2 linked regions of the Drosophila melanogaster genome follow. The protein of the gene in region 1 purifies or fractionates together with the protein of each later gene. This does not show direct contact. Each region holds a gene or a part of one and is shown in the gene's direction. Other genes may lie near its edges. The genes, in order: B-H1 and Tim8.

Region 1 (8,150 bases):
TTGGTGTGGCTCAAATTGGAGGCACATATGAGGAAGATATATAACAAATGAAATCTTATGAATTTGTATATGGGCACATTTTCAAAATGAAAGAAGGAACTGAAAAAGAATACCTGATGTATTTTTCTGCATATTATATTATCTTGTTGTGCCTCTTATTCTAAAAACTTTGCATCTCCATTGATGCAGAATTCTTTTGCGGATATTTGCAGTGCAAACAGTCCTACTCAATGAGTGGACATTAGGCCAATTAAGGCTACTTTCAGATGGCAAGATACGCAGATAGGTAGATCGAAAGATAGATATATGGATATGTGGATAGGTATCCGAGCGATAGAAGGCTGCACATGGACAACTGTTAGCCAGTTCGTAGAAGAGGCCGGAAAAACGCTGCCAACTGTCCAAGTTCGCTGGCAACTGTCCAGTAATCGAGGGGCAAAGGGGGTGTGGCATTGGGACAACTGCGCATTGCGGTTTCTGCATTTGTACATTTCTTTTTCATAATTTCTCGCATGTGCACTGAGAAAAAAGGGGGTATCCTTTCGGTCCTATGTCTCTGTCTTATGTCTTTGTCTTTATTTTTTGGTTTTTTCAGTGCCAAATTCTGGGCTTACTTCATTTAAATATTATATTTTATAACCAATTCGTTTTTAACTTAATATACTAAACTAAACTTCTCTCAGTGCTGACATTGCTGGCCGAGTGCAATTATTTTAAGCATTCAATTGGCATTGGCAGTTCGAACTCGAATCGACCGCAGACCGCAGGATATACGACTGGGCTGGCAATTATATGCATTTAAGTGCAATAACCGTCATCAGGACGAAGGACTCGGTTGACTTTTCCTCGCATTTGATGCTCCGGCAGACGCTAATTATTTTAATGCGCTCCGCAATTGAAGCGCGCGCTTCAGTCCGCTTTACCCCCGCCCCCGGCGCCCTAATTTCCCCGCCACTAATGACCTTCGCAGGTCACCTGACCTTTTCCCCCTTCCGCTCATGGTTCTCTCCAGGTTGGTTCAGTTCCTCGACCGGAATCAATATCAATCAAACGGAAACCGCCGCTCTCGACAAATTGCATTTGTTCATCCCGCTCCGCTTCCCTTCCTGCAATTAGTCCTGGACTAACATGTGGCCACCGAAACAACCCAAAGGTGAGCCTAACCACCGGGCTATTGGCGTGAAATTTTAATTGCCATCTTGTTGTCTGAGAGCGTGGAATCGAAAAAAGCGACGCCCAAATGTCGGGCGTATAAGGTTTTTCGACTCAAAAATCGAACAATTTGGTGTTAATTGAAGTTCTAATATATAAAGCAAACACATTTAAGGAGCTCTTAAAATATGTCAAGCCAAATGGGACTAAGATTATTTTTAATAAATCAATGATAAAACATGATTGATAAAATTGTTTACTGGCTTGACGTTATTCGCAGATTTCTAAGCGAATATATATAAAAGTATTATAATATTCTTATGTGATGGGAAAGACAGATGTTTTGACATTTCGGAATTGAAAAGTTTTGGTAATTTATGTCTTAATGGTCTAATTGTTAAAGCAGTGAACATAAAGCAGAGTTAATATTTTTGGAATAATATTTTGTTCACAAAGAAGAGTACTCTTCACATAGTAATGCAGTAGCATCGTCTCCATCTCTCAGATCCAACTAACTTCCTCGTAGCGCCATTTTAGGCCTTTTTCAAGGCCCTGAAGAGCTCAAGAGCGTTTGACCGACATTTGGTGCTATAAAAACCGAGAAACCGGGGAGAGACTTTATTTCACCACGCCGTGGTGGATTCACCACGGTGCCGGCAACATGGCGCTGCGCGAGAGAGTGACAGCCGATGAGACGGCGAGAGCCGTGGAAGCGAGAGGCAGCGAAAGCGAGCGACTGGCCATCCCCCTCCGGCCTTCGGTAGCATATGCGGCCCAACCACCGCCTATGACAAAGTGGCAAAATTGTTGCCACAGCCGCCGCTCGAGCCTCAGCCGCAGTCGGCGTCGGCAGCAGCGTTGGCAGCGGCGGATCGGGCAGGTGCGTTTCATAAACGTTCAGTCTCGTTTTGGCAGCCAAGCCGCTCACGACGTCGCTGGGTGAAAAGTTGAGATAAGGCCAAGAAAACAAAAAAACAAACAAATAGAAGACAACTTGACATCTATAGGAAACTCCAGTGAATGTGAATTTTTTTAGTGAAGTGTTGAAAGCAAATATAATTCGTATAAATAATCGGCAAGAAAAGGGAGAAAGAGTGAAACCCCCTAAGTCCTATGAAAGACTCGATGAGCATACTCACCCAAACGCCCAGCGAGCCAAACGCAGCGCATCCCCAGCTGCACCACCACCTCAGTACGCTGCAGCAGCAGCACCACCAGCACCACCTCCACTACGGCCTGCAGCCACCGGCGGTGGCTCACAGCATCCATAGCACCACCACCATGTCCTCCGGCGGCAGCACCACCACCGCCTCGGGCATCGGTAAGCCCAATCGGTCCCGCTTCATGATCAACGACATTCTGGCGGGCAGTGCGGCGGCCGCTTTCTACAAGCAGCAGCAGCATCACCAGCAGTTGCACCACCACAACAACAACAACAATTCGGGCTCCAGCGGCGGCAGCAGTCCCGCTCACAGCAACAACAACAACAACATTAATGGCGATAACTGTGAGGCATCCAATGTTGCTGGCGTCGGTGTGCTGCCATCTGCCCTGCACCACCCACAACCACATCCGCCCACGCATCCGCACACACATCCGCATGCGCTAATGCATCCGCACGGCAAGCTGGGGCACTTTCCACCCACCGCCGGCGGCAATGGGTTAAACGTGGCTCAATATGCGGCGGCCATGCAACAGCACTATGCCGCTGCTGCTGCCGCGGCTGCTGCGCGCAACAATGCAGCTGCTGCTGCAGCCGCCGCTGCTGCCGCTGCAGCTGCTGGTGTAGCCGCACCACCCGTCGACGGGGGAGTGGATGGCGGGGTGGGGCTGGCGCCACCGGCGGGCGGCGATCTGGACGACAGCAGCGATTACCACGAGGAGAACGAGGACTGCGACAGCGGCAACATGGACGATCACAGCGTTTGTAGCAATGGTGAGGTGAGCCTCTGTACTATGCGGGGGGTGGGGTGTTGGCGGCATTAGAGGGTGGTGGGTCAGTATAGCATTCTCGCTAATTCTCGAAAATGCATTTTCAAGCAGGAATTTTCTTCATTCAAAACAAGTTCGCAATGTTTTATAAACAAATATTGGGTCGAAATAGAACCAATTATCAACAAATCTGATTAATGTTGAGCCTTATGATAAAAAATATTCAATATTCAAATTATCCAAGTCATTTTAAAATAAAGCTATCACTGCCTGGTGCTAAGCTTATAAAGTACATATCAGATATTTTTACAACTCTACGACCACTTGCCTTTTTTTTTAAACAGTTGTCCAGATTGTTTTGTAAAGCTAGACACAAAACATGCAGATCTGATAAGTTTAATATTTTTTAATTTGAACGCAAATTTTTTATTAATGATATTGATATTGCGTTTTAGTAACATATTCCCTTTAGGTGATATTAAATATATTTGCACTTAACCAATTCTCAAATGTAGTGAGTGTAAAGGCAGTCGTAAAATAAAATTACTCAAATTCCCCTTTAAATCGTGTTAATGGTTCTGTTGTGAAACGCATTTCATCATAGCCAATTGAAAAAGTAATTCAATTAGGTAAAAAATAAGTAAGTCCGTTGTGCAGCAGTCAAGTTCGTTGCCTAAGTCTTTTGTATTGAAGCGTGCGCCTGAAATGGGGGCTAAAGTGTGGAGCGCGGGGGTGGGGCGGCGGCCCTCGTCGATGTCGCTTTGCAAAACAAACTGTAAAAATTATTGCATGACCATTTTACATTCTCGTTCTTGTTGCTTCTATTTGTTGTGGTTTTAGTTGAAAAAAAAAAATACTTTTTCACGCTTTGTTTCCGTCATTGCGAAGCTTCTAAAGTCCCCTTGCCTCCTCGCCCCTCCTCAAACTTGGGGGCATGCACCTGCGAATCTGAGAGCTATTATGGCAGAATGGAGGCGTGGCTCGCAGTGGGCGGGGGGTTGGCGGAAGAAGAGGATCTGCCTGAAATGCAACAACAAAATGCAGTTTAAAACTGCCGCAGCCGCAGAAAAAATCTCAAATAATTACACACATCGCACTCACTGTTCCCCGCTTCGCCGCTCGCTCTGCTTCCTCCTCCTATCTCACGCACCTGCCCCCTTCGCAATCATTTAATTGTGGAAATTGTTATAAAAATGCATTTAACCCGCTTTAATAGACGCCCCATGGCAATGGCAGCCGGGCAGCAGCAAACGAAAAAATGTTGCAGTCTGTTTGCTCATCTCATCGCCACTCGGTTCGTTTTACTTCGCTTTTGGCCAGCTTCTCATGCGCTCCACTCCATCTGGGCCCTGTTTTGTGCCATTTATTGCCGCAATTTCCTGTTGCCAATTGCACTTTTATAAACGGTAGTCGCGTCGGCCAGCTCTTTTGGGATGACAGCCAGCGGGCAGGGAAGGCGGCAATCCGTCAATTCATTGGAATTTCACAATTGCGATCAGCTTCAGTTACAAAAAAACCAAAATGAATATTGATCACTAGATTTTATTTATAAATTTAATGAAAAATCATAATTATAATAATAAAATCAGATAGGAAAGTTAACTTTTAAAGCTTATATTTGAATTATAAATTTGTAAAAAAAAAAACAAATTAGGTTTTTTTTTAACAACACTGTCGCCCAATTTTATTTGGCACATAATTCTTGATTTTTGGTTTTGCCTTTTTTTTAACGCTCCACAAATTATCGCCCGCAAATCGATAATTCAGCAAGTCGGCGCCAACATTCGTGAGTAATTTTCTTTAATTGCAAATTAATTTTATTCAATTGCGGCATTATCGCTCATTTATCGCTGCCATTAATCATTTATCGTTTACGTTTTATATGGTAAACAACTTTCGCCTTGGCGGCAAAATAAGCTCTTGATTAGCGATGATTAATAGAAATAATTAGCAATGCATCTTTATTTGCTTCATATTTCAAAGTTCAATTAGAGGCATAGCTGGATTTTCAATAAATAAAATAATATTGACTTCTTGGTATCTCATTATCAATAACAAAGATTGAGTCCACTTATTTAATGGATCGTGCAAAATTAAAATCTTGAAAAGATTTTATTATTGTTTGTCTGCTTCCTGATAAATTTATATGCTTAAAACAACAAAAATATGCTAAGATTGTTAATTTCCCCGTTTCTAGGCCTTATTAGACCAAATTTAAATGCGGCACTTGGCAAGTTTTCGCTTTAAATAATTTAACGCTTGAGAGTTTACTTAGCCCGCGTCAACCCCTTAACCCCCTCGTGCCCATGGGCCAAAAACTCGCTCTCGCTTATCGGGTAACCACCATCGGTTGAATTTACATAAATTTTATGTACTAAATGGCTGGCCAGAAAAGGTGGAAAAGCGGCCTTTTCTGGCCAAGAACACTTTTCGCAAAAAGGGGTGCTTTGGCCTGGTCAGCTTGCCTATCTCTCTTGCGGCTTTTTGTGGCAAGTTTAGACATTTTGCGGCACGTTTTTATTACACTCACACACACACGAACCGCTTTGTGAGCGGAAGCGGCAATTGCGTGGCCATAAACGAGCCTCTAACTGTATCTGCAACTGTTTTAATAGATCGCACAGAGATCTAAATCGAATTAGCCTTATGGGCATACCAAATCACCAACAAATAGTGATTTTCGGTAAACCATCTCGGCAAATGTTAAAAACTAGTTTTTAGGCATTTAAAGTTTTATAGAAATGTAACTAATATACCTTCGTTTTAAGTTTAAAAGGGGGAAGTGAATATTATAGTATGTATTATAAACAAACTTCATATTTTATGATAATAAAAAGTTTTGGAGTTTTACGCATATCCTACTTTGCCAAATGTGGTATTAGATTAGACATAATGGACTTTTTGCCCTTAGTTTCTTAATATTTCTAAAATTGAAATTCTCTTTTCTTTCAGGCGGTAAAGATGACGATGGCAACAGTGTCAAGAGCGGCTCCACCAGCGACATGAGCGGTCTGAGCAAGAAGCAGCGAAAGGCGCGTACCGCCTTCACGGATCACCAGCTGCAGACGCTCGAGAAGTCCTTCGAGCGGCAGAAGTACCTTAGCGTTCAGGAGCGCCAGGAGCTGGCCCACAAGTTGGATCTGAGCGATTGCCAGGTGAAAACTTGGTACCAAAACCGCAGGTGGGTTTTAACTTTAATGATTTTTTAATTTGTATTAGTTTTCAAAGATGAACTTAAGAAAATACAATAAAATCTATACACATATATTCTTATTGAAAGTATACTAAAGTTTGGTATCTATTATCATTTTGCAGAACCAAATGGAAGCGCCAAACAGCAGTGGGCCTGGAACTCCTCGCAGAGGCTGGAAACTTCGCGGCCTTTCAGCGACTTTACGGCGGATCGCCTTACCTGGGCGCCTGGCCGTATGCGGCCGCTGCCGGCGCCGCCCACGGAGCCACGCCCCACACGAACATAGACATCTATTACCGTCAAGCGGCCGCTGCGGCCGCCATGCAGAAGCCACTGCCCTACAACCTATACGCCGGCGTTCCGTCCGTCGGAGTGGGCGTCGGGGTGGGCGTGGGTCCGGCACCCTTCTCCCACCTGTCCGCCTCCAGTTCGCTGTCCTCGCTGAGCAGCTACTATCAGAGTGCCGCTGCGGCTGCCTCCGCTGCCAATCCGGGCGGACCGCATCCGGTAGCGCCACCACCTTCGGTGGGCGGAGGATCTCCGCCCAGTGGCCTGGTCAAACCGATTCCGGCCCATTCCGCATCCGCCTCGCCGCCACCAAGGCCACCATCGACGCCGAGTCCAACGCTGAATCCGGGCAGTCCGCCAGGACGATCCGTTGACAGCTGTTCCCAGTCGGACGACGAGGATCAGATCCAGGTGTGAGCGGTACGCCGGAGTGCGGCGATTGTGTGCGTGTGCTAATCATCGGGTTTGGGCGGTCTCAAAAGTGCGATTTCCAAGGGGATACATAAACTACATAGTTGGTTTCACGAATTTAAGTTACATATCACTCATTTTGTAAATCAGTCGGATCGATGATTTTATTGTTCCATAAAACATAAAAGTTTACATGGCATTTAGGTTATTTAGATGAATCAGCAGTTGCATTATTCGTGCACCATATCACAACATCGTTTTTATGGTTCAAACTTTAGTACAAAGGTATTTTGTTTAAATTTAACCAAAATATATTTGGAGGCATTTATAAACTTACGATCTAAACAAATTATTGTTTAAGGTCATAAAAAGCAGCACAAATGAGTTCAGTATTCAAAACAAAATCATGGAACCGAAAATTTGAATGGAACATGCATATTAAAAAAAAAAACATTTGTCAAAGATCAATATCCACAAGAATTCGCGTTTTTGAATCTCCCCTTAAGCCCCGCTTGTGTGTGTGTGTGCCTGCGTGTGTATATATATATTAATATCCCTGTGAATCTGTGTGTGTGCTTAATTTATTTGATTTGCTCTTAGTAACTTATTCGAAATGTTTTTTAAAGAGTTTTTTTTTTTCAATATAAGATAATGAAGTAAAATTAAGCAAATATTTATTTAAATGTTGTAAAAACTAGCAGCCAAAAAAGCAAAATAATTTTGTATAGTTAAGCCTAACCACGAAATGTATTATCGAATAAACAATTTTTTTTTTGTCGGTAGCCTAGACCTATAAACGTTGTAACTGTAAAATGTAAAGTACATTTAACCGCATATTTTTTTGTCTAAATAAAAAATAACAGAATGTGAGAATAGAGCAATCGTTCTGCGGGATTTCGTTGGGAGTGGGGGAGGTTGGACGTGTCCCGGGGCAATTAATATAATGACCAACAGAAACAATTTACAAACGATGTGTGCGGGGAGGGGTGGCGGGAAAGGGGGTTTTATGACGACGTGCGAGCCAACCCCTAATGATAATAATTGCATGCAAAATGCATTTAACCGCAATTAGTGCATTTATTAGGCCAAAAGTTGATATATTGAATAACTGCCACCGTTGGCCACCAGTTACCAGCTACCAGCTACCCGCTACCAGTTACCTACTGCCAGTTGC
Region 2 (3,396 bases), 6.0 Mb from region 1:
GCGTGGACAGAGTGTTGGTCGATCCAGAACTGGCCAGCGTCGACGTCGAGTGGGCCAGACTGGTGCCGATGGGTCCGCTACCGCGGGCCACCTCCTCGTTGGGCAGATACTGAACGGTGCAGGTGAACTGTTCGGTCATATAGGTGGGCGCCAAATGGGATACCTGATGCACATAGTGCCACTTCAAACGCTCCACACTCAGCGAATTCGCTTTTAGACTGCGGAAAACCTCACGTATCTTGGAGCCCACAAAGAAGCTGTGGGCGCGCCACAAGCTCGGTGGCAAATACAGTTTGTAAAGCTTCTCGATGGAGCGCATCGCCTGCTGATCCTCCGACTGTTCCTGATCGTCGATTAGCATATCCATCACGGCCAGTCCCGTTGATTTGTCCTTGTGCTCCGGATAGCGAATCTCCGGGATTTGCTCGGTCCGCATATCGTAGCGCATTTGGCGGTAGAGGAACTTGTGGCTCCGTCCATCGATCAACTCCAGCTGGCTATCCAATTCGGGCACACGGAAACGCATCCGAAAGCAATAGACCAGCTGGCAGTTGAGTCGCTCGCCGGGCAGGCACCACGTCAGATCCAAACGCACCAGCGGCGAGGGACGTCGCGATGTCGAGTGCTCCCGTATTCCGTAGAGCAGCTGGGCAATTGGTGCAATGCCCAGCTGGCGGCACATCGTATTGCAGATCTCCTCGCACAGCATGTTGGGATGGAAACGCTCAAATTCGCCGGTGGTGAAGTTGAACACACGGATTGTGCCATCGTTGGTGTGGATGCTCTGCGAGGAGGTGCCGCTGCGCAGCGAGGAGTTCGTCAGGCTGGCGCTGTCCGCCAGCGAAGTGCGTCCGCTGCTGCTGTCGTCCATTCTATCCTCTCCCCCGTTGGCCAGGGCCATGAGAGGATTGTCGGTGAGTGGTCCCTTGTGGGCTGGGTGCTATCTGCTGCTCCTGCAAGCCCAGTTCCTTGGCTGGAGCAGTTTCCTTACGCGGCCGCACTGAAGCTAGATCATGGGAGCTTTCCTAGGAATTTGCCGCGTTCTATCCGTTTCCTCTTCTTCTTGCCAATAACAATGACCACCGCGACTGACTTGAGTTGCTATTTTTGGGCTTACTGCGAATGCTCCTGGAATCGGCGATGCTCTTACCCTTGCAGTTGCAAGGTTGCCCCAAACTCCAGCGCGAGTTCCATTGATGCCACTGGCGGGGAACCACCTGGACTGCTCCTTCTTTTAGCAAGCGCCAACTTTCCGAGCAAGAACCACTTCGCCACTTGGGCGATCCGTCAGCAAAGTAAACTGGAAATCGGAAATCACAGTGCACTGGTCCGAAATTAGACACCCGAAACGCCAGCTAGATCCCGAAATTTGTGGGGCGTTGTGGGAACAGGGCGACGGGACTGGATGGCGATTATAGACGCCTTCGATCTGAAAGTGGGCCTGCTGTCGAAACGAAGCTGCAATTGCGAAGCTACAATACAAGCCACGAATTTCAGTGAAATTCATCGGACAATTTGCACCTCACGATATCGATTGGCCGACGGCCGAGCCACTTTGTCATCGATTGTCCAATAACCTGTACTATCGCACCTTGCGAACCAGTGGTTGGCAACGCGAGGTTCTAGTTCTTTTTCGATAGTTCTCAGTAAATATAAATAACAACTTACTTTAGAAATGTATTCTTGAAAATTGTATACCCTCGTTGGCAGGAGGAGGATGCTTAAGAAAAAAAAATATACTGTTATTTGCTCTATGGCGTCTATATTCTTGCCATTTAAATATGACAACAGTGCAAACAGTGCAATATGCACGGCATTTCCAGTATCGAATAGCTTTGCTATCGAATACACATCGATTTTTGTAATTCCACAGTTCACAGCTGTCAGTGTCGTTTATATAACCTCAAACCTTAGAATATATGAAATTCCGGACGAGCCCGGTCAATTTGTAGATTGCTCACTGAAAATCACACGATGTCCGATTTTGAGAACCTTTCCGGCAATGACAAGGAGCTGCAGGAGTTCCTCTTGATTGAGAAACAGAAGGCACAGGTCAACGCGCAGGTGAGCCGGGTTCCCCCATACACATAATAACCATTCGTAATCATAACAATATGCCCTCGCACATTATATCGTCGCCAGATACACGAGTTCAACGAGATCTGCTGGGAGAAGTGCATCGGCAAGCCGAGTACCAAGCTGGACCACGCCACCGAGACGTGCCTGAGCAACTGCGTCGACCGATTCATCGACACGTCGCTGCTTATCACCCAGCGGTTCGCTCAGATGCTCCAAAAGCGAGGTGGCGGCGACCTGTAGATTTGTTCGCTTAATCGACACCGACACCGGGATCTGGGTATCCGAGTCCGTGGACGCTTCCGTCACTGTCCTACTGTTAAATCTATTTTTAAACAAAAAATTATCATGTAAGCACATTTTTTTCCGCGCTGCGTTTCGCCGCCGACATCCAAAGTATGTGGCCCGTAGTCTGCACCCAGCCCGAAATTGAAATCCGTGATTCGAGTTCCGGAATTAATATTTAATTCGGTAGCGCAACTCAATTGTTTGGTCGGCCCTACGTTAGCGTACCGAAAATAAATACATCTTTCGTTTCGTACGTTTAAAATGCATTGTGTTGTAATCCTTTGCTTGGATAGTTTTAATCTCTTCTTTTATAATGATGAAATATTGTTGATAGATGGCTTAATATTATGCAGAAAGGAAAATAGAATTGAAATTGGATCATTTCAACATACATTTAAATTTAATTAGGCTGGAAAGGGGCTTAGAATGAAATAGTAGGTGTTCCTTAAATGTTTATTAGAATAAATAAAGTTATTCCATATCGATAGTATAGTGCTTCCACTCGATAAGTACCTATCGGCAACTTTCCAATTGGAATTCATATTTACGCAACTTTGAACACACAAATGTAGCTGCCATTTCCTGTATAAAATGTAATACTAAATGTAATATTAATGCATTTCTGCTAAATCCAAAGGTAATACTTGCAATGCTTGCGGACCTATTTCCCGCGCTCGCTTTGAACGTTTGCCCAGGACTTCTGATTGGGCTGCACACGCAGCGCGCCTCTGGTCACACTGATCCCAACTAGAACTAGTGTTCCCGTGAGCAGAGCAGAAAACCGTAATATATATTCTCCAACGTGCTGCCGCTACTTATTTATATTAAACATAAAATGCCCGAAGGCTGTGCCAAACGCATGTCCTTTTTGCCAGTGAGTGTGTGTCCGTGTATAATATACATAGCAAAATATACAGTCGGTGTCGGTTTCTGTGAAGTGTAGAAGTTCAGAAGGAGAAGCGAAAAGCGTGAAAAAGGATCAAGTGAAGAGAAGCATGAAAAGTTACCTTGATTTGCCTGCAGGACTAAAAA

What was found.
Region 2: the proteins of B-H1 (region 1) and Tim8 purify together in Drosophila melanogaster (affinity purification with mass spectrometry, with the first as the bait; one large-scale study listed by BioGRID). This does not show direct contact.

What each region holds. Positions count from the first base shown.
Region 1 is NC_004354.4:17,395,429-17,403,578, forward strand, and holds B-H1 (BarH1), read left to right. Parts: upstream 1-2,049; 5' UTR 2,050-2,265; coding exon 2,266-3,088; coding exon of another isoform or gene 3,089-3,093; intron 3,094-6,036; coding exon 6,037-6,265; intron 6,266-6,399; coding exon 6,400-6,982; 3' UTR 6,983-7,850; downstream 7,851-8,150. UniProt on the Drosophila melanogaster protein: B-H1 and B-H2 are regulated by members of the wg signaling pathway; wg and dpp. B-H1 and B-H2 are coexpressed and functionally required in R1 and R6 receptor cells and primary pigment cells for normal eye development.
Region 2 is NC_004354.4:11,366,562-11,369,957, forward strand, and holds Tim8 (Tim8), read left to right. Parts: upstream 1-1,883; 5' UTR 1,884-1,974; coding exon 1,975-2,064; intron 2,065-2,142; coding exon 2,143-2,319; 3' UTR 2,320-2,722; downstream 2,723-3,396. Other genes in the region: hop (hopscotch), read right to left, coding at 1-901. UniProt on the Drosophila melanogaster protein: Mitochondrial intermembrane chaperone that participates in the import and insertion of some multi-pass transmembrane proteins into the mitochondrial inner membrane.